Callithrix jacchus: one gene and its partners. The protein of the gene in region 3 interacts with the protein of the main gene of each other region in a biochemical or structural test. Links are inferred from orthologs where the notes say so. Each region holds a gene or a part of one and is shown on either strand. Other genes may lie near its edges. The genes, in order: SYK, TNS3, ERBB3, RNF41, BCAR3, NRG2 and ITK.

The links.
Region 1: the proteins of ERBB3 (region 3) and SYK form a complex in vitro, tested with the Homo sapiens proteins (2 studies listed by BioGRID and IntAct, with this or other methods). The link is inferred for Callithrix jacchus from reciprocal best matches to the Homo sapiens genes ERBB3 and SYK.
Region 2: the proteins of ERBB3 (region 3) and TNS3 form a complex in vitro, tested with the Homo sapiens proteins (2 studies listed by BioGRID and IntAct, with this or other methods). The link is inferred for Callithrix jacchus from reciprocal best matches to the Homo sapiens genes ERBB3 and TNS3.
Region 4: the proteins of ERBB3 (region 3) and RNF41 form a complex in vitro, tested with the Homo sapiens proteins (2 studies listed by BioGRID). The link is inferred for Callithrix jacchus from reciprocal best matches to the Homo sapiens genes ERBB3 and RNF41.
Region 5: the proteins of ERBB3 (region 3) and BCAR3 form a complex in vitro, tested with the Homo sapiens proteins (2 studies listed by BioGRID and IntAct, with this or other methods). The link is inferred for Callithrix jacchus from reciprocal best matches to the Homo sapiens genes ERBB3 and BCAR3.
Region 6: the proteins of ERBB3 (region 3) and NRG2 form a complex in vitro, tested with the Homo sapiens proteins (2 studies listed by BioGRID). The link is inferred for Callithrix jacchus from reciprocal best matches to the Homo sapiens genes ERBB3 and NRG2.
Region 7: the proteins of ERBB3 (region 3) and ITK form a complex in vitro, tested with the Homo sapiens proteins (2 studies listed by BioGRID and IntAct, with this or other methods). The link is inferred for Callithrix jacchus from reciprocal best matches to the Homo sapiens genes ERBB3 and ITK.

Annotation. Positions count from the first base shown.
Region 1 is NC_133502.1:74,892,307-74,896,443, reverse strand, and holds the start of SYK (tyrosine-protein kinase SYK), read left to right. Parts: upstream 1-1,337; 5' UTR 1,338-1,458; intron 1,459-4,137. UniProt on the Homo sapiens protein: Non-receptor tyrosine kinase which mediates signal transduction downstream of a variety of transmembrane receptors including classical immunoreceptors like the B-cell receptor (BCR).
Region 2 is NC_133512.1:14,907,565-14,911,064, forward strand, and holds part of TNS3 (tensin-3), read right to left. Parts: intron 2,903-3,500; coding exon 1,646-2,902; intron 1-1,645. UniProt on the Homo sapiens protein: May act as a protein phosphatase and/or a lipid phosphatase. Involved in the dissociation of the integrin-tensin-actin complex. EGF activates TNS4 and down-regulates TNS3 which results in capping the tail of ITGB1.
Region 3 is NC_133510.1:63,567,254-63,570,690, reverse strand, and holds the end of ERBB3 (receptor tyrosine-protein kinase erbB-3), read left to right. Parts: intron 1-685; coding exon 686-986; intron 987-1,157; coding exon 1,158-1,681; 3' UTR 1,682-2,937; downstream 2,938-3,437. UniProt on the Homo sapiens protein: Tyrosine-protein kinase that plays an essential role as cell surface receptor for neuregulins.
Region 4 is NC_133510.1:63,425,816-63,429,850, reverse strand, and holds the start of RNF41 (E3 ubiquitin-protein ligase NRDP1), read right to left. Parts: upstream 2,801-4,035; 5' UTR 2,625-2,800; exon of another isoform or gene 2,457-2,624; intron 1-2,456. UniProt on the Homo sapiens protein: Acts as E3 ubiquitin-protein ligase and regulates the degradation of target proteins. Polyubiquitinates MYD88. Negatively regulates MYD88-dependent production of pro-inflammatory cytokines.
Region 5 is NC_133508.1:131,469,609-131,473,108, forward strand, and holds part of BCAR3 (breast cancer anti-estrogen resistance protein 3), read right to left. Parts: intron 1,546-3,500; coding exon 1,103-1,545; intron 1-1,102. UniProt on the Homo sapiens protein: Acts as an adapter protein downstream of several growth factor receptors to promote cell proliferation, migration, and redistribution of actin fibers.
Region 6 is NC_133503.1:38,224,789-38,228,288, forward strand, and holds part of NRG2 (pro-neuregulin-2, membrane-bound isoform), read right to left. Parts: intron 1,331-3,500; coding exon 1,207-1,330; intron 865-1,206; coding exon 737-864; intron 146-736; coding exon 1-145. UniProt on the Homo sapiens protein: Direct ligand for ERBB3 and ERBB4 tyrosine kinase receptors. Concomitantly recruits ERBB1 and ERBB2 coreceptors, resulting in ligand-stimulated tyrosine phosphorylation and activation of the ERBB receptors.
Region 7 is NC_133503.1:20,008,514-20,012,013, forward strand, and holds part of ITK (tyrosine-protein kinase ITK/TSK), read left to right. Parts: intron 1-1,083; coding exon 1,084-1,241; intron 1,242-3,500. UniProt on the Homo sapiens protein: Tyrosine kinase that plays an essential role in regulation of the adaptive immune response. Regulates the development, function and differentiation of conventional T-cells and nonconventional NKT-cells.

The DNA of each region.
Region 1 (4,137 bases), on a different chromosome or scaffold from region 3:
GACTTCTATATTTGAGTCCTTGTGGATGAATTGTAACCTAGCTTTAACAGGCAGGCAAGACTGAAAATCTAACTTAGGAGTATGAGGCCTGTAACAACAGCTGAGTCTTGGCCAATCCCAGCGGCCATACTTCAAACACTCATAAACTGCTAAGTATTCAAACAAGGCAAACGCCAACTTGTAACCAATTCAGCTGTTTCTCTACTTCACTTCTGATTTCTGTCCATATCTTCCTCTTTTTTTGTCTGTGAATTTGTTCTGACCATGAGGCATCCCTGGAGTCTCTGAATCTGCTTTGATTCTGGAAGCTACCCCATTCCCAAATCATTCATTTCTCAATTAAACTGATTTAAATGTAATTCAGTTGAAGTTTTAACAGGTTTAAAAAATTAATTGCAAAAATGAATTAAAATCTAATAACGCTGGAAACAGAAAAGGCTGAGGGCTCCATTAAGTATAAACAGTCCCATCTTTATAATTTCTCCATGGCAATTACAATCCAGCACATTATACGTATTTTATTTTGCTTCTCGCATTTTGGCTCAGGGTAAAGCTTTTTAAAACAGACGCTGCCAATCGGTTTTATCAAGAAGGTCTGGATACCGTTTTTGTGGGAACATTTTAAAGAGGAATGTCCAACAGGAAAAGGAGGATAATTGAGAGAAGTGTATCAGGCAGATAAGTCAACACCGTTTTTAGGACTATAGGAAAGGATTACGTTTAATTTATTTGGCTGTAGACGTCAGAGCCGTCGTGTTACAAAGAAAGCAGTCTTTAGTAATAAGCCCTCAGAAGCAGCGCGCTCCATTGCCCACTAGTGCTCCGTGAAGTCTGTTGTTCACCTACCGGGCCCCTCAGCACTGCCCCGGCCTCCTGAGTGCTCCAGCACGGTGGCTTGCAGCCTGTTGGCTTGGTGACCCAGATACCCCCTCCAGGGACTATGCCCTGCAGTGGAGTCTCTACCCCATTTGCTGCACAGCAAATGGAAAGGGCCGCTGAGTGTTCCTGGGTCCTGGGCAGTAAGAGAAGTTACCGCGCTGGCGGGGATGAGGGCAACCGATGTGGTTCGGGTCGCGGGCAGTCCCACCTTCCCTGCCTGCGAAGGGCCCTTACCCGGCGGGAGGAGAGCGGCGCGCCGCACCTGGATTCCTCTGCCGGTGCAGCCGCCTAGGCGGATCCCGCGGGCCGGCCCAGCGCTCCAGCCCGTGCCCGCCCAGCTCCGGGCGCACGGGCGCGGTCAGCAGGGCGGGCCAGGCGGCGGGGCGCGACATCGGGAGGAAGTGCGGGCCGCCTGCCCGGGCGCGTTAAGGAAGTTGCCCAAAATGAGGAAGCGCCGCAGCCGGGCGGCTGAGGCCACCCCGGGCGGCAGAAGAGCGAGGAGGAGCTGGCGGCCCCGCGCTGCGCCCCGGCTGAGCCCCGGCTGCGCCCAAGCGCCAGTCCTTGCCTCACCTGGCGCAGGTAGGTGTGGCCGCGTCGCCTCCCCGGTGAGAATTTTCTGGTGAGCGGAGGGGGTTTCGGGGGATGACGCGCCGCGTTCATGCCCTTTCTTGTTCTGCCTTTCTCGTGTGCCCAGTCACACCGGGAAGGTGCCCGCAGGGCCTTCACTGCGGAGGGAAAAGTGCTGAAACTACGTGAATAAATACGGTGGGGTCCGCCAGCCTCGCTCCTGAATCTGCCGGCTCTCGGGATCCAGAAGCTGCGCCGGGAGAGGGGCCCGGGCCTGGGCGGAGGGGACAGAGGTCTGAACCTGCGGAAAGTGACCCTGGACTAGAGCGCGGAAAGTGCGGTCGCGGCCCCGCCGGGGGAGACGCGAGGCTGGGATGAGGCACAGAGCGAGGAATTTGATCTTGGAGCTAGAACAGTGTCCTTTGTCCATTTACACCAATCCATGGGGGAAATGCCGCAGTATTGATCAAAGTGACTCAATGTAGAAATGTCCAGATGTCTTATAAGCTAAGACAAATGTTTTACTGCAGAAAGAAACAGCAGTTGCATTCAAACACCAAACTTTCTGAACCACTACTAAAATTTAGCATAATTACTCTGGTGAATACATTTTCATTGTCAAGTAATTTACTTAGCCAATGAACCTGGAGAGCAAGAAAGTTTTACGTAGTAAAATGTAAACTTGAGTTAAGAGGTAAGGTGATTCTTTGTTTTTTGGTTTTGTTTTTGTTTGTTTTTGGCAATACAGCTCCAAAACCTTAAGCCTACCTGAAAACTATACAAATGCGATAGCTTCTTTGGTTTTTTCAACGTTCAGGGACTAGAAAGACAATTGGAGAAGTGGGAGTTAGAATCTTTTTTTACGTTGGAAACGCTGTTGCAAAATATTTTATGAGTTTTGCCTGACTTACCGAAGATTCAGTTGAACTCAAGTAGAACTGTTGACTGGAAGTTTTTCTTTTTCGTCTTCTTCTTTTTTAACCTTCAAAGCATTGCAGTCTGTAGCAAAACAAGGAGTTGGAGATATGCCATATCTGATTCTTCATATTAAAAAATAAAAAAGGAATCTTTTAATCCCTGAGAATTCCTGGAAGGAATTGAATTGATTCTAGAATCTGACTTCGTCTTAGTAGGGACAAATTCATTGCCTTTACACAGGCAGCATTTTGATTGAATGCAACTAAATACATTGATGTCCTTCTCCCCAATGAAAGTCTGAGCAGTGCATAGATAGAATTACATTTGAGCTAAAAGGTTTAAATACATGTAAATTATTAAGTGTTTAAAGTGAGAAATCTTTGTCAGTGAAAATTATTTTATCAAATCACTTTGTTCTATCCGAATGGCACTTTTAATGTACTTAGAAAAATCTTGCATTAAAATAGAAACTTATTTGTCTTACCCCCTGTATTTGAAGTGCACTTTGAAGTGTATTTGAATGAGAGATTATAATCAAATTGCTTGATTTGTGTCTTATCCTCTTACTCTTCTTCCTTGGATTTGAACACTAGGAAAAAAGAGATTTTTTTTCTACTGAGGTATCGTGGGGAGACTTTTTTTAAAAGCCTCTGTATTTGAAGTGAAATATACAATAGGATTTTAGAATAGTCTTAATAACCAGAATGCTTTAAGCTAGGATAAAGATGGGGTGTATACTTTAGGTCTTTACCTTTCCTGAGAGATGAAATTGGTAGAAACATTATTTTATTGCTAGATTTGCACTTGAGAAATGATTTGCCTTGATCTTTGTTAGGCCCCTATATATATTCTAAATGCAGGTCTAATCATTCTGTTTTTTAAACTGATGTCTTCTTAGTAGAACTTCACTTATTTAGCACATTGTTTGCCCATGGTTATTATCCAGCATGCTTGTGCCAAAGTGTATTTTGGAATTCAAGCTTTTTCCGAATTTGGAATTAAAATATAGAACTAAATTTTAGAATTGAGAAAGACATCGCTCAGAATTTAGGGAGGTAAACACACATGTTGATGCTGCTGATTACTTGCCATTCCAGTATAGTCTGGAGAGAATCCTGTAATTCCACGCATTAATATTTCTGCACTTTCACATTTAACAACATGCATATTCTCAGTAAGTGGAAAAATGAAGACTATAAATAGCTGTGTGTCTGTTTAGAGCAGGTGGTATCACTACAAGAGCTTCTCTAAAATTTACCAAAAAGAAAAAAAAGGCTTGTTTTTCAGAGTTTTTTAGAGCTGGAGATGATGGACTCAGTCTGTATTAGACTCCACTGAACTATGGTTTGCTTTTGAAAGCAAAGTGCATTCATATTGCTCAATACCTCACACTTTCCAGTAATTAGAAGGGCAGTTCCTCTCCCTTAAGGGAGTCTAAAATAGCAAGATTTTACTGAATTTTCAATCATATCGATCAAAATAAAGGTTCTTCAAGTAAGAGCGGATGTTTCCTTTGTAATATAATTTTGAACAGCGGAGTTTCTGACAGGCTACGATTTTAGAGAAAGAGAGCAGAAGTTACTCACAAAAGGGGTTACCGTCACCCTTTACAGCTGCAGTCTGTCCATGGAAGAAATTTTATTTCCTGTTAACTTTGCAACCAGCTGGGTTTGTGTTAGTTGTCTACACCTAAGTGATGGCTAATTTTTACTTTCTCAACTTTCCCTGTATAGATGTATAGACATTTTTTCCAACTACCCCCTGACTTTTCTA
Region 2 (3,500 bases), on a different chromosome or scaffold from region 3:
ACTTTTACTCTGCTGTGCAGGTCCCATGTGAACCTGGGTGGGCCATATACTGACACCTCCGTCAATATGACTGTAAGGCAGGGACTGGTGTGGTGCCCGCAGCCAGGGTGCTTAGGAAGATGACATGGGCCAGCACACCTAAACCAAGAACCACGCTGGCATAAATGACAGCATCTCTCGTGTTACCAGCACACGGTGGGAATCACATGCATGGCGTCACCCAGTGATGTTCTCTCGTCCTTTACCTCTCTGATCTTCACTTTTAGAGGCAGGCCCCTCTAAGGAGCCAGCGGCCTCCAGAAACCAACACACCAAAACATGCCAATGTGGGAAGCCTGGCACCACACGGATGCCACATTCTCTGGCCCAAGGTCCTCCTTTGGTCCCTGCATATCACTACCGGGACTCCCAGAACACAGCTCTGTCTCTCCACCTCCTGCAGCTACAGCCTGGCTGTCCTCTCCTGGCATGCACCTCTGTGCAGGACCACACAATCTCCCCACAACCCTCGCCCACACAGGTCCCTACCTGAGACATCCCCGCTCCATCCCAGCACCCCTCTTTGCCTGCTGTCTTCCCTGGCTGACCTGACCACTTCTGGCTCTCTGGTCCTCTCAGCCTTCATGCCTCACCAACAGAAAGAACACTATATAGTAACCTGGTCCCAACATGCCCCATTACATTGACACAGTGCTGCTGTGAACCAGGCAGAGGTCACTGTCTGTCCATCACTGCCAGTCCTGGTTCTTCCCAGACCTCAAAGCTAGGCACAAAGGCCCTGTGCCGGTTTCTAAACCATCAGCCTTAGGGGGAAAGGACACTTGCAGTCCTGGCCTCCCTGCAGTTAGCATAACCCCCACCTGGTTTTGGGGCATCCCCCGGAGGCCCCTGCACCTGGCTCCATTGCTCTGGGTGCCGCGACAGCTCTCAGCCCCCCGACCCAAGCCTGCTCCCAAAACCCCTCCCATCACTGAGCTGCTCTCCATGGTAGAAACTCTTGTGGAGCCCAGGCCGCCCAGCTGCTGCCTTCCATAAACAGTCTCCACACACCACCATGGCCAGCACCGACACGTTGTACACCATGACTGCTTAATCACTTCCATGTGCCAAAGCTGTCTGTGGGCTCAGCAGTCCTCTTGATCCCCAACCTTCAGCCCCACTGAGGTAACTGGCATTCTTCCACAAAGCCCTGACCTACACCACAGGGGAAGAGGTAAGTATGCTTCCTTAGTTCATCCACTAACTTTCACAAAGGGAGAATAGTTTCACTGTTAGGCCCATTCTGCAGTGAAGGCATGGACAGCCCTTTCCAGCAGATCTGCATGCTGTCCCTGCCCCTGTGCTTAACATAACACCCTGACATTAACATAACAGCAGGCTTTCTGCCTCGTTCTTCCCACCCTCCGATCTGCTACCTAGGGACCATGGCAGCATGATAGCAGGCCATGGCCTAGGCTTCCCACATTGGCATGTTTTGGTGTGTTTGGCATGTTTCGATCCTAGGCCAAAATTCACAAGACTCAAAACTGCAAGGGAAATGTCCCTCCCTCTCCCCTGTGGGTTTTGCCAAAAGCTAACCTACTAGGCTGATTTCTCATCGCACGTCAGCCTCCCGTGGAGCACCTCCCGTGGAGCACCAGCTCACCTTGACGCCCGGGGGTCCTGCTGGTGCTCTCTCCTGTGTCAGGCAGCCTGCTGCTTGCCCGGAGCCCGCCTCCCATGCTGTCCAGAGACGCAGAGCCATTGGCCTGGCTACCAAGGGTGTTCATGTGGGTAGGGATGGGCTCGAAGGTAGGATCCAGCTCCAGGATCAGCCTGTTGAGCTGCTCAATGGACTGGTCAATGTCCAGGGTGGGCGAGCCTGGGGAGGGGCCTGTGCTCAGCTCTGAGCCGGCTCCATTCACAACCTGGTCGCCTGGAAACCTGGGTTTGAATGATTTGCTGGGAGAGGGCTGCTGTGTGTCAGGAGGATGTGACCCACTGCCCACACCCCTCTGGACAGCCACCCTGCTGCTGGTCCCTCGGGTGGGGGTGAGTGGGATTCTTGGCTGGGCCTGGACGAGGCCAGGGTTGTCTGCAGGGCCTCGGCTCACCAGTCGGGCCTCCCCGTCGGGGGCGAAGTTATACTGGTGAGCCACCACCATCTGCTGCTGGCGCACCCAGGTCTGGGTGGAGTAGCTGCTCTGCCCATAGGCCTGCATCTGTGGGGACACCGAGGGCTTCCTCAGCAGGGGCTGGGGCTGCTTGGGCTCTCGACTCCCAAAAGTCCGCTCCCGCTCATAGGGGGCGTCCATGCCAAGGCCCAGGTCTGGAACAAGGGTGCCCTGTTGATCTTCACCAACGTTGCTGCTGAGACCATCAGACAGGAGTGAGTTCTGGCTGCTCTTGTGGCAGGTGAAGGGGCCCAGGTGGGCCGACTGCGGCCCTTCCGAGGAGGACAGGGTCCCAAGGCTGTCCACACTGTGCAGGTCATGATGGGGCATCTCGTCATCCAGAATGTCCGTCTCCCGGTCCTTCAGAGCAGCGTCTCCATTCACGTGGACCTGAGCCGGCACCACATGGCGGGTCCCGCTGTACTTGCTTCGAACATCAGTCATTTCCTTCAGGGAGCTTCCAGAATCTTCCAGGCCAAAGCCACTGAGCAGCTGGTCCAACTCGGCCTTCTCCTGGGCGCTGAGGCCCCTCTTGGTTCCCGGAGCCAGGCGCTCTTCTGTCTTATCAGTCCTGGCAGAGGCTGTGGAGTGGCCAGAGTCGCTGCTGACAGACAAGGTGTGGTCACTGTGGTCTGGGCTGCCAGTGGCCGGGACAGCCTGGTGGCCTCCTGGGATGCCAGGATCCGAGGAGCTTTTCTTCCTCACCTTCGCGTAAAGGCTGCCATCAACAGGGCCCTGCGTGTGTAGCACTGCGGGGGAGAAAAGCAGAGAGAGGGATGAAAGGCAGCCTCACACCTTCAGAATGAGTGTGTGCATTTGTCCAAACAAATAAATGGATTCAAAAGATGACTAACGATAAACAGGGACAAAGACTCCTCTAAGATCAAAGTTCTACACATACTCTGGAGCATGCCAACGAAAAGGAATGCAAAGAAACAAACATCTTCAGGCGCCAGAATCATTTCCACCTTTCCATGCAGAACAAACTGTCATTCTGAGCTCTGGGATTCTTCAGCTTCTGAATCATCTTGCCTTGAGGGCTCATTGTTAGTTTCATCATGATTATGAATGCTGAACTGGGCTCAGCTCATAAATCCCCGAGAATGGACTGTTCACCCTATACAAAGAGCTTCCATCTATAGACCTAACACTTGTTGAGCATCAGTTAGGGGCCTGGTAGCAAATTCCTATTAAATTGAATGGATTGGTGGAACCCCATCTCTATTAAAATATAAAAATCATCTGGGTATGGTGGCACACGCCCACAGTCCCAGCTACTCAGGAGGCTGAGGTAGGAGAATCACTTGAACCCGGGAGGGAGAGGTTGCAGTAAGCCATACACTCCAG
Region 3 (3,437 bases):
CCTATAATCCTAGCACTTTGGGAGGCTGAGGCAGACAGATCACAAAGTCAGAAGTTCGAGACCAGCCTGGCCAACATGGTGAAACTTCGTTTTTACTAAAAACACAAAAATTAACTGGGCATGGTGGTGGGTGCCTGTAATCCCAGCTACTCTGGAGGCCGAGGCAGGAGAATTGCTTGAACCTGGGAGGCTGCAGTGCACTGAGTTTGTGCCATTGTACTCCAGCCTGGGCAACAAGAGCAAGACTCCATCCCCCGCCTCCCCAAAAAAAAGGTAGTGAACAACCCAATCTCCTTCTTTTTTTTTTTTTTTTTTTTTTTTGAGATGGAGTTTCACTCTTGTTACCCAGGCTGGAGTGCAATGGCGCGATCTCGGCTCACCGCAACCTCCGCCTCCTGGGTTCAGGCAATTCTGCTTCAGCCTCCTGAGTAGCTGGGATTACAGGCACGTGCCACCATGCCCAGCTAATTTTTTGTGTTTTTAGTAGAGACGGGGTTTCATCATGTTGACCAGGATGGTCTCGATCTCTTGACCTCATGATCCACCCGCCTCGGCCTCCCAAAGTGCTGGGATTACAGGCTTGAGCCACCGCGCCCAGCCTCCAATCTCCTTCTAAACAAATGTCACTTCTTTCTTGATCTGTGTAAATCTCCTTGCATTATTTTTGGTTTATTTTCTTTCTTAGGAGTCTGCAGTTTCTCAGGGCAGTGAATGGTGCCCCCGTCCAGTCTCTCTGCACCCAATGCCACGGGGACGCCTGGTATCAGAGTCATCAGAGGGCCATGTAACAGGCTCTGAGGTTGAGCTCCAGGAGAAAGTGTCAATGTGTAGGAGCCGGAGCAGGAGCCGGAGCCCACGGCCACGTGGAGACAGTGCCTACCATTCCCAGCGCCACAGTCTGCTTACTCCTGTCACCCCTCTCTCCCCACCAGGATTAGAGGAAGAGGATGTCAATGGTTATGTCATGCCAGATACACACCTCAAAGGTGCCTGCTCTTCCTAGGGCTTTCCTCAGTTCTTCCTCGAATTCTTTCCCCAGGCTCCTCTAAATTATTGTCTTCTCTGATGATATGCCTCTCTATCCTATTCATTTTTTCAAACTTTCCCCTACCCCCATGAGGTTCTTCGCATACCTAGCCTTTCTTCTCTACCCTCAGGTACTCCCTCCTCCCGGGAAGGCACCCTTTCTTCAGTGGGTCTCAGTTCTGTCCTGGGTACTGAAGAAGAAGATGAAGATGAGGAGTATGAATACATGAACCGGAGAAGGCACAGCCCACCTCGTCCCCCTAGGCCAAGTTCCCTTGAGGAGTTGGGTTATGAGTACATGGATGTGGGGTCAGACCTCAGTGCCTCTCTGGGCAGCACACAGAGTTGCCCACTCCACCCTGTACCAATCATGCCCACTGCTGGCACAACTCCAGATGAAGATTATGAATATATGAATCGGCAACGAGGTGGAGGTGGTCCTGGGGGTGATTATGCAGCCATGGGGGCCTGCCCAGCATCTGAGCAAGGGTATGAAGAGATGAGAGCTTTTCAGGGGCCTGGACATCAGGCCCCTCACGTCCATTATGCCCGCCTAAAAACTCTACGTAGCTTAGAGGCTACAGACTCTGCCTTTGATAACCCTGATTACTGGCATAGCAGGCTTTTCCCCAAGGCTAATGCGCAGAGAACATAACCCCTGCTCCCTGTGGCACTCAGGGAGCATTTAATGGCAGCTAGTGCCTTTAGAGGGTACTCTCTTCTCCCTGTTCCCTCTCTCTCCCAGATCTCAGCCCCATTTCCCCAGTCCCAGACAATTCCATTCAACCTTTGGAGGCTTTTAAACATTTGACACAAAATTCTTATGGTATATAGCCAGCTGTGCACTTTCTTCTCTTTCCCAACCCCAGGAAAGGAGGTTTTCCTTATTTTGTGTGCTTTCTCAATCCCATTCCTCAGCTTCCTCACAGGTATTTCTGGAGATATGAAGGATTACTCTCCATATCCCTTCCTCTCAGGCTCTGACTACTTGGAACTAGGCTCCTAGATGTGCCTTTGTTTCCCATCAGACTGTCAGGAAGAGGAAAGGGAGGAAACCTAGCAGAGAAAAGTATAATTTTGGTTTATGACTCTTAACCCCCTAGAAAGACAGAAGGTTAAAATCTGTGGAGATAAAGGTTAGGAGTAGATATTGATTACTTTTATAATTCAGCACTTAATTATGAGCCAGGCATCATACTAAACTTTACCTACATTATCTCACTTAGTCCTTACAACAATTCTGTGACATACATATTAACTCATTTTACAAAAAAGGGAAGCCGGGCGTGGTGGCTCAATCCCGGCACTTTGGGAGGCTGAGAATGGGAGGATCACTTGAGCCCAGGATTAGAGATAAGCCTAGGGAACATAGCAAGACACCATCTCTAATGGGGAAGGGGGGGGAAACTGAGCCTAAAAGAGATTAATTAAGCAGTAGGTCCAGAATGCAAAATCCTCCCAATTCCTGTGCATGTGCTCTTAACTGTAAGTGCCAAGGAAAACTGATTTAAGTCACAGCCCTTGTAAGGGGCAACGTTTCTTGTCTGCACTGAATCAAGTCTAACCCCAACAGCCACATCCTCCTCATATAGGAAGACATCTCATCTCAGGAAGTGGTGGTGGGGGTAGTCAGAAGGAAAAATAACTGGACATCTTTGTGTAAACCATAACCCACGTGCTGTGAATGATCTTTACTCCTTATCTGAGGGCAGATTCACAAGGATTCCCCCAAGATTCACTTTTAGGAGCCATTCTCATCCCAGCAGTAAGAAGCTTCCAGGTAGGATAGAAAGAAGACCCAGTTTCACGCCTCTGTTCCTTTGGATGGGGAACTGAGGGAAAATATCTGTTGTATCACTGAAATGTTTTGTTTTTATACATGTCTGAATAAAAATGCCAAAGTTTTTTTCAGCTTCCTGTCTGTCAAATGAAAACATTTCATATGTTAGATAGATCTCCTCAGCAGAGGACAGTCACCTTTCTGTCTTCTGACAATGCTACTCCGTCCCATGCAGCTTTCTCTAGTCCTATTATTACTTGTATTTCTTTAGAACAAGCATAGCTTATAGTCCTTTGGGGTTTTAGTAGGAATCTACAAAGCAAAAACAATTGAGAATAACAAAAACAAATAACCCACGTGCTTGGGGACTTATAAAAAGCACTATATACGTGTCCGGTCTCCTTCAGAGGCCAAATACTGAAACCTCTACGTGTTTCTGAATTCATTCTTAGAAAAGTCACCAAATCTTTTTATTTTGTTTTTTCACAGTAAGCGCTCTCAACAAACATCTGTCTTTCTGAACACTTCCCTTAAGTGCTCCATCCAGCCTGTTATTGGAACAATGTCATGTTACTTCTTTAAGGAGTCCAGCCTCTAGATTGGGAGGCCTTTAAATGGATGATCCCTCCGG
Region 4 (4,035 bases), about 140 kb from region 3:
CCTTGCTCTTTCACCCAGAAGGGAATGCAGTGATGTGATCTCCTCGGCTCACTGCAACCTCCACCTCCCAGGTTCAAGCTATTCTCCTGCCTCAGCCTCCTGAGTAGCTGGAATCACAGGCCCATGTTACCATGCCAAGCTAATTTTTTTTTTTTTTTTTTTTTGAGCCTGAGTCTCACTCTGTCACCCAGGCTAGAGTGCAGTGGCGTGATCTCAGCTCACTGCAACCTTTACTTCCTGGGTTCAAGCGATTCTTCTGCCTCAGTCTCCCAAGTAGCTGGAACTATAGGTGCACACCACCACACCCGGCTAATTTTTTGAATTTTTAGTAGAGATGAGTTTCACCTTGTTAGGATGGTCTCAATCTCCTAACCTAATTTTTATATTTTTAGTAGAGACAGAGTTTCAACAGGTTGGCTGGGCTGGTCTCAAATTCCTGGCCTTATGTGATCCACCCACCTTGACCTCCCAGAGTCCTGGGATTACAGGTGTGAGCCACTGAGCCCCACCTAATATAAGGTGTGTATGTGTGTATACACATACATACACATACACATACACACACACACACACACACCTTATACATACTGTCCTGTAAATCAAGTGAAATAATAAATATGGAAGGAGGCTGGACACAGTGGCTCACACCTGTAATCCCAATACTTTGGGAGGTTGAGGTGGATGGATCACTTGAGTCCAGGAGTTCGAGACCAGCCTGGGCAACATAGTGAAACCTTGTCTCTACAAAAAATACAAACATTAGTCAGGCATGGTGGCGTAAGCGCTTGTAGTCCCAGCTACTGAGGAGGCTGAAGCAGTAAGATCACCTGAGCCCAGGAGGCAGAGGTTGCAGTGAGCAGAGATTGCACCACTGCACACCAGCCTGGGTGACAGAGTGAGACCCCGTCTCAAAAATAAATAAATAAATACATAAACATGAAAGGATACTGAATACTGTCATCCTCAAGTGAGATATTATTTGTAACAACAGAATGCAAAATAAGGGCGGGTGCAGTGGCTCACACCTGAAATCCTCGCACTTTGGGAGGCCAAGGTGGGTTGATCACCTGAGGTGATGGTTTTTGTTTTTTGGAGATGGAGTCTCACCCTGACGCCCAGGCTGGAGTGCAGTGGCGCAATCTCGGCTCATGGCAACCTCTGCCTCCTGGGTTCAAGCAATTCTCCTGCCTCAGCCTCCTGAGTAGCTGGGACTACAGGTGCATACAGCCACACCTGGCTAATTTTTCATATTTTTAGTAGAGATGGGGTTTCACTGTGTTGCCCAGCTAGTCTCAAACTCCTGAGCTCAGACAACCCACCCGCTTCGGCCTCCCAAATTGCTAGTATTATAGGCATGAGCCACTGCGCCTGGCCGAGGTCAGGGGTTTGAGATCAGCCTGGCCGACATGGTGAAACCCCATCTCTACTAAAAATACAAAAAATTAGCTGGGCATGGTGGCGGGTGCCTGTAATCCCAGCTACTCGGGAGGCTGAGGCAGGAGAATCGCCTGAGCCCAGGAGAAGGAGGTTGCAGTGAGCTGAGATCGTGCCACTATACTCCAGCCTGGGCAAGAGTGAGACTCAATCTCAAAAAACAAAAAAAGGCAAAATAAATAAATTTAAAGTACTGAGAGTCGGAGAGGAAATGCTTAAAAGAAGATTGTTCCTTCTTTTTACTAGAAGGTAGGCCTAGCCACAGGTGGGCTGGACATGCAAGGTAGTAACATTGCATTACTCACATTCCCTACCACGAATCCACCCCATTCTTATTTGGGGCAAAACTATCAGCCAACAACACTCTCAGCCTCTTGCCCTATTGTCAGACTCTAAAACCACTCTTAGAAAGGGCTAACACTATCACGGGCCAGTCCCCAAGAACAGTGGCCTCATTAACAACCCCACTTGTTATTAGGTGAAAGGAAGTTTCTGAATGGGGAGGGAGTCTGTCAATTCCTCAAGAAAAACGCCCTTAACCCTCTTAGCTTTCTGCTCTTCCTCTGGCCCCCTCCTTCCCACTCCCCAATTTCCCAAAGTCCTGGGTTTGGGAAGGCCTTCCAGTGTGTGGTGTGTGAAGCCTATCAGAGGGCCAGGCTGCAAACTAAGCGCAGGGATGTGAAGAATGTGAGATTTCTTCATGGAGGGCTAGGAGGGGGAGAGGAACGGGGAAGGAATGAGAGGACAAGGCTGCCAAAGACAAGACATGGGAGAGGAGCCAAGCTATGGCGCTTCGAGGGCGGGGGTTTAGGTTCCACCGCCCCTGCCCAGGCTAGCCCCCGGAATGCTCCCTTCCTCCCCTTCTGGTCCGTCAATCATTGCCCATTTAAACACTACGTTGTTCCTCTAGGTCCGCAGCTGCCGGTCCTCCAGCTAGCCCCGGCCCCCTCCCGCACTTCTCAAAGCTCCCCTATTCCAATGGACCTTCCCCAACAACCCAATCTCCAGAGCCCCTTTCTCACCTCCCAACTCCTCGCCAGTGCTGCTTCCTTCCCCCATTTTCGTCTTTACCAACATCCCTCCTCCTGAACCCCAGTATTTCAACCCCCTGCCCCAATACCCCTGGGACATCACCTCCTCCCCTCCCACACCCTCTTTTAGGTGGAAGATCGCGCAGGCGCAGTACGCACCGCCCTGGACACTCCGCACCCTGGCCCAGTTGGAGCTCAGGCCGCAGCGGCCACAGGTCTGCCCTGATGCCGGGTCCCAGCCTTTCCCGGGAAGGGAAGGGAAAGGGGAAAGAGGGGAAAGAAGTCTCCGACCACTCGTCGCCGTCTCTGGCGGATCCTTTGCCCCGCCCACCGCTGCTACGCAACCCGGCGGAAGCTCGTCACCAAACCCCGCCTCTTTGTTTAACTCCTTCCCTACGCGGGCAGCCACGAGCGACCTACGAGGAGAGACGAAGGCTAGCCAGGCCTCCGCTCTAGACAGGAAGTCTTTGTGGTCTCTGTCAGGACTATATAGCCATTTGGGAGGAAGAACTCTGTGTTCTTCCCGACAAGAACGGGTGGGTCTGGCCGGCCACGCTTCGCTTTGGAAGGATCACGTGACTTGTGTCCCAGAGCTGACGCGGATTGGTGGGAGATCATTGCGGAGAGGCTGGTCTGCAGCGTGACCGGCTGTGGGTCCAGCCCCTCTCCCTTTTCCAGAGCCCTGGTCGGCATCCCAGAGCCTCGTGACCCCTTGACGCCTGTCATGGGAATGGATATTGCAGTTAACAAGGCGGTTGCGGGGTGGGGAGTGAGGGAATCCGACTGCAAAGCTTAGATCCGGGGTGCTCAATGGGTTGTCTGCCTCTCTCCCAGGCGCACTCTTCCCATATCCACGATGTCTCCTCGATCACTTGAGGAGTTCCCTGAAACACCTAAGAAGGAAGGGAGAGAAAATTTCCCTCTTCCTGAGTTGGAGTTTGATTTCCTTAGCTTACAACACCATGGTGTTGGGGTGTGGGTGGTAGAGAACCTGGGATCCAAGGGAAGTCAATGTGGAGCCTAAAGAGCTCCATGAAAAGATAAGGGATTCATTAGGCAAACCAAGGCATTACAATTACATTATCTCTTAGGCTAATCTGGTATTAAATAGTATGGCATTTATTTTGGACATTGGCTAAGCAATGTTAGTGCACATTGATACACATACCCACACACACCCACATATCTCTATGTAATTTGTTTACACACAACAATACAGAACTAGCTATCTTTTGTGGACAATTTGACAGGTCCCAAAAGGAACTGAAGTTTCAAGCCTTTTTTCTGCCATCCTCTAGAGGGGACTCAGATCAAGTAAGATAAAAGTAGTATGGCCGGGTGCAGTGGCTCACGCTTGTAATCCCAACACTTTGGGAGGCCGAGGTTGGCGTATCGCTTGAAGTCAGAGTTCGATACCAGCCTGGGCAACATGGCAAAACTCCGTCTTTACAAAAAAATATAAAAATTAGCCGAGAGTGGTGGGACGCACTGTAGTCTCAGCTACTAGGGAGGCTGTGGTGGGAGGATCGCTCGAGCAAGGGAGGCAGAGGTTGCAGTGAGTCAAGATTGT
Region 5 (3,500 bases), on a different chromosome or scaffold from region 3:
CTTTTCCCTCCTTTCCTTTCCCAGTGCATTTAGATGATGTGCACAAGGACCCTGAGCTCTGTGAAAGACAGGCCCTAAACAAATGCAGGTCACCACTGCTGACATTTAACAGCTGGGCGCCGAGGCTCAGCGATGTTCTGAAGCCCTGATTTTCCACCGAGTGCTCTAAATCCTTCTCTGCCCCCATTCCCCAAGGTTCACACTATAGCCCCCATGCTCTCTGCATCTCCTGTCTTAGAAATCTCATTTGTTTTCACCAAGTCAACTACCCTTTCCACGTGGACCAAGCCCTAATTTGTCTTCAGCCCTAATGGCCTCCTGGACCCCAAAACTCCTGCTGGACTCTGGCATTCAAGTCCATAGTCTTCCAGCTCAGATGAAAAAGTATGTTTCTCCTCCAGAGTCCCCTCCCTCCTGGTCACTCCTGTTGCCTCCAATGTGCCTTCCTCCTACTCCGCCACGTGCATTAGAGGCCTGGGAGGCCAGGCCCCTCCATGATTCACTAACTGGCTTTCGTGTTCGTGTCTCACTCCTTGCCCCCAGTATGTTGCTGTCCATTTCTATTCTTAGGACATCTGCGTTCACTCTGCTGAGTCTGTGCAGCTCCCTCAAAGCCCTGCACCTGGCATTAAGGCCCCCACGATCTGGCTGGGGCTAACTCCCTAAGCCCACTGCTACAGGTACCTTGCACAGACCTTCTCTTCCAGCCCCACCAGCACACTCACTCCAAGATCATGCCATTTTCCATCCCCAGACTTATGCCCAGGCTGCGCCTCCCACCTCCCCCGCTTTGCAGCATCTATCCAAATTTTCCCCAACCATCAGACCAGCCCAAGCTTAACCCCCCTTCACAAGGTCTCTTGTGAAGAGGGAGTCGCCACCCCCTCTGTCCTTCCTCAGCTCCTGTAACATTTATCGCTGGCACTGCTCAGATGGGAGCTAATAGTGCAATGCCTCGTAACAGCTATTCCATGAACAGTCGGCATTCCTATTAATATCACTTATTTCTCTGTTCCATGATGAATTCTTCATCTCCCTATGTCTGGGCACCTCTGGTGCCTTTCATGGTCCTATGCCAACTGCAGAGGAGGCCTTGACCCACCTGAGGAGGTTTCCCCTGGGCAAATTCTGCTCTCGGGTCTGGACGCCACCCATGGTGAGGCTCAACCTCTTGGCCACATCCGGCCGTCCCTCGGTGAGGCTGCCCTCCTGGGCCCGGCCTGAGGAGGTGCCATAACGCTCCTCCAGGCACCGCAGGGGCACCGTCCTGTTGATGGGCTGGAAGATGATGGCACCACTGTGCTGGGAGATGGGCCGGCGGTTGCCCACATAGCAGCGCACCAGGCCGGGGATGGAGTCGAAGCTCTCCATCTCGAACTGGTACTGTACGCGGCTATATGCCTCGCTGAGCCGCAGAACTGTCCGGTTGATTTTGAAGTGCTGAGCAAGGTTCTTCCACTGACAGGTTAGGACGAAGTTCCCAGGGCTGGACAGAGAGTCACGAACTAGGAAGTCGCCATCTCGCTGCACAAGGTTTTCAGACACCTTTGGGACAAAAAGGTGAGTGAGGAGTAGGAAAGGCAAAATCACATTCCTTCTAAAAGCTTATGGCTACCCACTTCTCTGGGCCAATGGAAGGCAATGCTACTATTTCTTCTTGGGTCAGCTGTTTCGTTTTTCAAAGGTCAAATTCATAGAAGATCCAATCATTCATTCAGGAACTACTGACTGACCACCTACTTGCACCAAGCACTGCTGCAGGGGTGACAGTGGCACACAAGAGCCCACCTCATGGAGCTCCTGTGTTTGGTGGGGAGCTTCTGTTTTAGTGAGGATAAATAACCAATGGCTATGGTATGTCAGATGTAACGTCAGGGAAAAAGTAAATCAGGAAAGGAGACAGGAAGTGCTGGGCAGGGGATGAGGGCTGTCCAGTAAAATAGGGTGGGTGGGGAAGTGTCACAAGAACATGATGTGTATATAGACTTGAATGACGTAATGCACCAGGAAACAGGAAATTAGAAACTGTCGGGCAGGCCTGATTTTCCTTCCCCAACAGGTGGAGTGAGGAGAAAGAAGGTGTTTGTTGGTGTCTAGAAGTCGTCCTCGGAGCCCTCTCAGAGGAGGAGTCCGTGTGCAGGACACACCGACTACTGGCTAGAAGGCTTGGAACTAAGTCAGGCCGGCAGGCTGGGGTCCCTCATCTCACAGTTACTATAAGGGTTATGCATTTGTATACATAATACATGCAAGCGCTGGAACACAGTGGATGCTCAAAAATAACTCGCATGATGCTGCTGCTTACAGCAACTGGAGAATTTAGACTGTGGTGCAGTCTGGCTGTTCCTGTAGCCTCAACCACCTGGGTTCGCATCCTGGCTCAGCTGTAAGACTCTGGACAAATTACATAATCTCCTTGTGGCTAATTTACATTATCTGAAAAACACAAATGATAATATTACCTACAGGATGACTAAAAAAATTTAAGGAGCTAAAATGTTAGCAATAACTCTTGTTATGATGGTTATGGTTATAGTGTCCAGTTACCCAGTTTGGAATGATTTATCGCTGAAAATTTATACTCATACTCATGGCAAGTACTAAACAAATTTAATGACCATGATAAGGAGAAGGACAGTGGTGACAGTCACCAGTTTTATAACTCTGACAATTTTTCTGAGACATTCCATCATTTGATCAACAGTATACTTCTGTTAGCTTAAAACAGTAGGCTACCATGGTTACTTCGAAATTGCATCTTTGCCTTAAAAATGTTTTCACTTAGAAATTCCATTTCTTAGAATTGAGCCTGTGAAGGCCGGGCATGGCGGCTCACGCCGGTAATCCCAACATTTTGGGAGGCCAAGGCAGGTGGATCACAAGGTCAAGAGATCGAGACCATCCTGGCCAACATGGTGAAACCCTGTCTCTACTAAAAATGCAAAAATTAGCTGGGTGTGGTGGTGCACGCCTGTAGTTCCAGCTACTCAGAAGGCTGAGGCAGGAGAATCGCTTGAACTCGTGAGGTGGAGATTGCAGTGAGCTAAGATTGAGCCACTGCACTTCAGCCTGGTGACAGAGCAAGACTCTGTCTCAAAACAAAAACAAAAAACAAAAAAACCAGAATTGGGCCTGTTGAGTCTGTGAAAATAATTACAGGTATGAACATAGTACTCTTAAAGGATGTTGGTCACAGTGTTAGAAACACCCTATGTGTCCAGTAAATTGTGATGCATGCATACCATGGACAGGCATACAACATAGGCTGGTACAGAAGAATATTTTATAGTGGGTGAAAATTTCCAGGAAGTGAGTAGAATGGGCTACCAAAAAAGTATATGCAGTACAATCTCATACGTGATTTTGAAAAGCCCCGGAGAATATATGTACACAAAAGTGTTCACGGTGGTTATCTTCAGGAGAATTATGAGGAGAATTACAGATAAGAGTTAATTTCCTTATTTTTGCTATCTATATTTTCTACCATCAATTTTCAACTT
Region 6 (3,500 bases), on a different chromosome or scaffold from region 3:
GTAGGCTGCTGCCCGCCTTGCCCGAGCCTCCACACACGCTGGGCTGTTGCATTTGCTGGTACCCACTGATGACAGCATGATGCCTGACTGCGAGTCAGAGGTCAGGCTCTCAGAACGTTCCAGGCTCCACGTGTGGCTCTCGTGTCTGGGAAAGCCAGATGGGGTGAGGTGAGGGGTAAGGAAGGGGCAGGGCGCCCAGCAGGTGTGGTTCCATGGACCTCCCTGGCTCTTCTTCCACCTCCAGCTCCCTTAGCTCAATGCCCTTCTCCACTCTGGGGTGATGTAGAGTGTTGCAAATGCCCAGCCCCAATATTGGAAGAAGGAGGGCTGGCGTCCCATGGATGAGTGAGTTTTAATGTGCAGAAACCCATTTCTTTCCTCCCTGCAACCAGCCTCCCCTAGCCTTACCTTAAACCCCCTGTGTGGGACCCTTCCACCACTGTGGTCCTTAGCTTCCTATCTCAGAAGCCCAGCCCCAGGGGCCAGTATGTGAGGGCCCTATTTCCTGGTGCTCCCAGGGAAGAAGGGAGCCAGCCATGTTATTTTTGAGCTGTCTGGGCCTTTGTGCTGTGTGGATCAGCCTTCGCAGTTCTGGAGAGGAGGTTAAGGTGTGCTGTGATTCCTGTGGCAAGCTCAGGAGAGGGTATCGAGTAGCTCTGGATGTTGGCTAAGTGGGCGCTTTGTGCCAGATGAAGTTTGTGAGTCTCAGGTTTCCATGGGCTTTGGTGGTGCCTACCTGTGGCTGGAGGTGGGTGTGGCTGTGGAGCAGTGGTGAGAAGGTGAACAGGAGTGGCTCCCAGAGAAGGTGGTCTCAGTTTCTCTCCTGATGACGTGGTCTGTGGCTGGCACGTTCTTGGAGATATACTGGAATGGAGAGAGTTGGGTGAGAGTTAGTGACCGTGGCCTAAATCAACTTTTCTTGTTGGGGACAGGGATGTGATGAGCACTGACTGAGCTCTTGGTTGGGGAGACCCACTGGGTGAGAGTGACATGATGCTGGGGCAGTGACAGCTCCAGCAAATCAACCCCCACCCCTTCCTGATGAAAGTGAGCAAAGCAAAGCCAGCCATCCTGGTGAGGCAGTGCCTAGCAGGAAAGGCTGGCCATGGGATAGGCTGGCGGCTGCCCTGGCCCATCCTTGCAGGGGGCATGAGAAGGCTGGCTATCCACTGGGAGTTCAGAAGGGGGCCCGGGAAAGCCACTCACATCTGCCATTTGGATCTCCTCTGGGTCCAGCCGTGGGTGGCTGGGCCCATTGGCCAAGCTCCGGTTCTGGTGGGCCGGGCACATGTTCTGCCGGAGGTGGTTATGCATCTGCTTCCTCTGTTTTCTGCACAAGGGAAGGGAAGGTGAGCCTGGTATTCCCCCAATTCACCAGTGATGAACTTCCGGAGCTGCCTCTCTAGGGAAACAGCTTTTCCCCCTGTCCAGGGCTGCTGTTCTTCCCTGTACTCAAGCTGCCCCTACACCATCACCACCTCCCTGAATCCAGCAGGACCTGAGCGTCATGGCAGTGAGCTTTGGCTCTGCTCAGAAAGTAGAACTTCATTGATTTCTAGTTATGCAATCCTGGGCAAGTTACTTAAGCTCTCCACATTTCACTTTCCTCATCTATAAAACAGGGTGATCCTTTATCCATTCCAAAGATTATTGATGATTAAAAGTATATGAAATATTCAAGGCTGGGTGCCGTGGCTCACGCCTGTAATCCCAGCACTTTTGGGGGCCTAGAAAGGCAGATCATCTGAGGTCAGGAGTTTGAGACCAGCCTGACCAACATGTAGAAACCCTGTCTCTACTTAAAATGCAAAATTAGCCTGTCATGGTGGTACATGCCTGTAATCCCAGCTACTCAGGAGGCTGAGGCAGGAGAAATGCTTGAACCTGGGAGGCAGGGGTCGCGGTGAGCCGAGATTGCGCCGTTGCACTCCAGCCTGGGTGACAGAACAAGAGTCTATCTATCTATCTATCTATCTATCTATCTATCTATCTATCGTGTGTGTGTGTGTGTGTGTGTGTGTGTGTATTGACTCCCTCTCTCTCTTATTCATTCATTTGGTATTTATTGAGGTGTCACCATGTGCCAGACACTGTTTTGGAGCAGAGAAGATAGATAGGTAGATAGGGTATCCGCCCTACTGAAGCCTGTAGGCCAGTAGAGGAAGCAGATGGTAAATAGGTAAACAAAGAAATGAACTAGATACTTTGAGTAAAGTGCCACAAAGAAAGTAAACAGGGTGCTGTGGTTAGCTGTGGGGCTACTTTTTTAGATTGGCACATATTAAATGCTCAATTTATTTGATAATAAATCTAATCATGTAACTCCCCTGTTTAATGAAGGGGTCCTTCATTGTGAAGTCATGGAGATAGAGAGTAGAAGGATAGTTACCAGAGGCTGGGAAGGGAGGTGGGGGTTGGGAGGGAGGTGGGGATGGTTCATGGGTACAAAAAGTGGTTAGAAAGAATAAAAGAGACCTAGTATTCGATAGCATAATGGGGTGACTATAGTCAATAATAATTTAGTTGTACATTTAAAAGAGTGTAATTGGATTGCTTGTAACACAAAGGTCCAGGAGGACCCATCAGTTTGCTCAAGGTCACAAAGGATAAATGCTTGGGGGCATGACTAGCCCACTTTACATGATATGATTATTATGCCTTGCGTGTCTGTATCAAAATATCTCATGTAGCTCATAAATATATACACCTACTATGTACCTGCAAAAATGAAAATGAAACCCCTTTACTGGGCCTTAGTGTCCTGTTTCTCTCCCAGCCCTGTGTCTTGCTGCCCACACGGCGCCCCAGCTAGCTCCTCCGTGGTGAGTTTATTTCTGATCCTCCACCGTGCCCCACCCTCTCTGGCCTCCTGCCTTGCGCATGCTAGGCCATTCACCTGGAATACTTTCCTCTTCACCTGCTAACTCTTGTTCACCTCTCAGGCCCTGGCCTAAATGCTGCTCCCCAGCTTAGGTGCCTCTAAAAGGTGTCCTGTGATACTGGACCACTTGCTCAGAGCACTGGCCATATGTCTGAGGCAGGGCCTGGTGTCCAGCAGGCACCAAATGAGTGTCTGTTGAAGAAATGAGAAAATGCAGTGGGGGCAGGACAGGCGGCTTGCTTTTTCTGCAATTCTTGGACTATTTTCCCTCTTGGGCCTAGTCTCCTCTGGGCTCACTGGGCCCCAACTCCCTCCTCAACCTCCTCGAGACTTTCTGGTCCTGGATTTATCCAAGACAAGGCCAGGAGGACCTCAGATGCCACAGTTGGGGCAGCATGAGTCCAGACGAGGGGCTCAGTCCCTGGAATGGTGGCTCCATCCGGTCTAGACTCTTGCTCTCCAAATATGAACAGTTGTTACAAACCCGTCATCTTTCTGCCCATCAGAAGGTCATAGGGCCTTGGATGCTGAGCTAGGGAGTCTGGCTTTTTCCAACAAAGATTATAGATGTACCTTTGTTGGCTAAACCTAGAATCCCTAGCTCGGCATCCAAGGCCCT
Region 7 (3,500 bases), on a different chromosome or scaffold from region 3:
CATCAGCACGCTGGACTTTGTTGTATGTGTTAAGGTTTTTTCATCCTAATTAGCAGTGTGCTATTCTGAACAAGTCAATCTCTTTGCACTTCACTCAATATTTTCATCTATTCGCTTCTCCTCTATGCATCTATGTCTTAAGGCAATCATTCTGAAACCATGTTTTAGCAGCAGCGCATATTCAAAACAATTTTCACTAAAAATTCTGGTATCTTGGGTGATAAACACTCTTATTTAGGGTCAGGTTGTCAATTTCCAACTCCTGAGGCACCTCTGAGTAACCCCTAGCGATTCTGTTCCACTGGGTCTGGGCTAGGGCCCAGGAATCTGCCACTTGAACAAGCCTCTGAAATGATTTTTATTCGGTGTTTTGGGAATCATGCTTTGGGAATGTCTACTCTAAGATTCTCTGGAACGAACCTTGAAAAGTGCTGGATTAGGTGATTTACAAGCAGTCTTCCTGGTCTGACAACCTGTGACTATATCAGCACATGATAAGGACAAAGCTGACAATTCTACTAAGGGCAGAAGAAGAAAGGAAAAGAATTAAATCAGAGGTCAAAAACAGATAAGCCAAAGATGTATTTTGCTTGGTCTACATGGTGTTTTTAAAATTCAAGAAGTTCACCTCTTAATTTTTGACTTCCTTTTCAAAAATCAGAAATTGTAACAGTTCTGATCCCTCATTTTCATATGCCATACTTTGGCTGGAGTCAAATCATAGCTGTCTCCTTAAGACGGAGCTGTTTATCTCATTTTCCACAATTCCCCCTATCATACTTCCTGCACTCCGTTCATTTACATATTGCACGTTGGCATTTGAGTCTACAACTGTTAGTGGCAGCATTTGAGTTTGATATAACAAAGGGTCCATCTTGAAAATCCTTCTCCACTAGAAAGGTTGGAAATTTCAGTTCTTTAAAAATAGGACAGGGCTAATAAACCTCAGGTAGACTTGATGTACTTCTGGAGGTAGCACATGAATCCTAATGCCAACGAGTCTGAAATTTCTAGGGGGAGGTTGCTTTGTTTGCTGTCTGTGGGCTTTGTCATTCACTGTGCTGTGCATACCATTTCTCATAGGTGTGCTGATGTGGGAAGTTTTCAGTGAAGGCAAAATCCCATATGAAAACCGAAGCAACTCAGAGGTGGTAGAAGACATCAGTACTGGATTTCGGTTGTACAAGCCCCGGCTAGCCTCCTCACATGTCTACCAGATTATGAATCACTGCTGGAAAGAGGTCAGTGGAGGAAGTGCTTTCCCCTGCATCGTCATATACAATTTCAGGACCTGCCTCCTTCCCTAGAGAAAGTAACCCTCTCAGAAGGCTAAGGCAAGAGGGATGACTCATATAGATTAACAACAACATGACTTTGAGGGTCTTTTAACAGGATAGATCCCCCATCCCTAATGGAGCTGATGGTGACCTTAAATATTATTTTGTTTACTATATAATGTCACAAGCCATAAGCATAACTTCAGAGAGGAGAATGGGGTGTGACCTATGCCAACTTCCTTCTCAATTTTCTGAGAAAAGAAATAAAATCTGTGACATCATAAAACCATTAAAAGTACATGAAGTTAGTTCTATAACTTGGGGAACAAAGTTCACTCACACTATGAAAATATTGAAATGGATTAATTTGAATTCATTTTATTCATTCAGCAATTTAAAATGGGGAGCCACTTCCTTTGTACCCACCTGGCTGGCTATCCCATCCTTGGATTGCAGGCCATGGGTTGAGCCCCATCAGCATGAGTCTTAGATGGTCTTTGGTGAGTTAGAAAATTGTACATTTCAGCCAAAGTGGAAAGTTGCTGAAATAGAGAATTAGTAAAAATTCACATCATTGTAGGACAACAAAGTGGAATACAGACAATTTAGAACACTAGGATTTTGTCTCAGCTTTACCATTTATTTGCCATTTATCTTCAACAATTCTCTGAACTTCCTTTTTCTTACTGTTAAGAGAATTAAATAATGCTTGATGTATGGGTTCATAGAGCCTTTATAATGAGGAACAAAGAAACAATAAAGTCATAAACAAGGGCATGAAACAAATCTTATCCACTTCATAAGGATTAACTACAATAATAATAATGACAGCTGATGTTCAGTTGGCACTTTTTCCTCTTTTAAACATCTTTTGTTGATTTTTTAAATTTATAGACTTTATTTTTTAACAAAGAGTACAGAGTTCTCAAATACCCTCCTCACCTGAGCAGTTTCTCTGTTCACTAAGATTTGGCAAGTGTGTGATAATTTGTTACAATTCATGAACCTTTATTGATACATTATATTAACTAAAGTTCATAGTTTATGTTAAGGTTCAGTCTTTATGCTATAGATTTCTGTAGGTTTTGATAAATGAATAATGCCATGTATCTGCCATTATAATATCAGACAGAATAGTTTCACTGCCCTAAAAATTTCCTGTGCTTCACACATTTATCCCTCTCCTCATCCCCAAACCACTGGCAACTGCTGATCTCTATAATGTTTCCATAGTATTGCCTTTCCCATAATGTCGTATATTGGCATCATACAGCATGTATGCTTTTCAGACTGATTTCTTTCACTTAGTAATATGCCTTTAAGGTCCCTCCATGTCTTTTCATGGCTTGATAGCTCATTTCTTTTTGTTGCCAAATAGTATTCCATTGTATGGATATACCACAGTTTGCTTATCTATTTACCTACTGAAGGAAATCTTGGTTGCTTTCAAGTTTTTTTATTTGTTTGAATTTTTGTTTTGTTTTGAGATGGGATCTCAGTCACCCAGGCTAGAGTGCAGTGGCACGATCTCAGCTCACTGTAACCTCTGTCTCCCAGTCTCAAGTGAATCTTCCACTTCAGCCTCCCAAGTAGCTGGAACCACAGGCATGAGCCACTATGCCCAGCTAATTTTTTGCATTATTGGTAGAGACAAGGTTTTGCCATACTGCCCAGATGAGCTCAGGCAGTCCACCCATCTCAGGCCTCCCGTAGTGCTGGGATTACAGGTATGAGCATCCAGGCAGACTGCTTTCTTTCACTTAGTAATATGCCTTTAAGGTCACTCCATGGCTTTTTAGCTTGATAGCTCATTTCTTTTTATTGCTAAATAATATTCCATTGTATGGATATACCACAGTTTGTTTATTTACCCACTAAAGGAAATCTTGCTTGCCTTCAGTTTTAAGCGATTATGAATAAAGCTGCTATAAATGTTTATGTGCAGGTTTTTGTATGCACATAAATTTTCAACTCGGTTGGGTAAGTGCCTAAGAGTATGCTTGCTGAATCATATGGTAAGGCTGTGTTTAACTTTTTAAGAAACTGCCAGAATGTCTTCCAAAGTAGCTCTACTATTTTACATTCGCACCAGCAGCGAGAGTTCCTCATTAGCATTTGTTGTTTTGGATTTCAGTGGTTCTAATAGATGTGTAGTTATATTACATCATTGTTTTAATTTGCATTTTCCTAATGACATTCAATGTTAAGAACATTTTCATATGC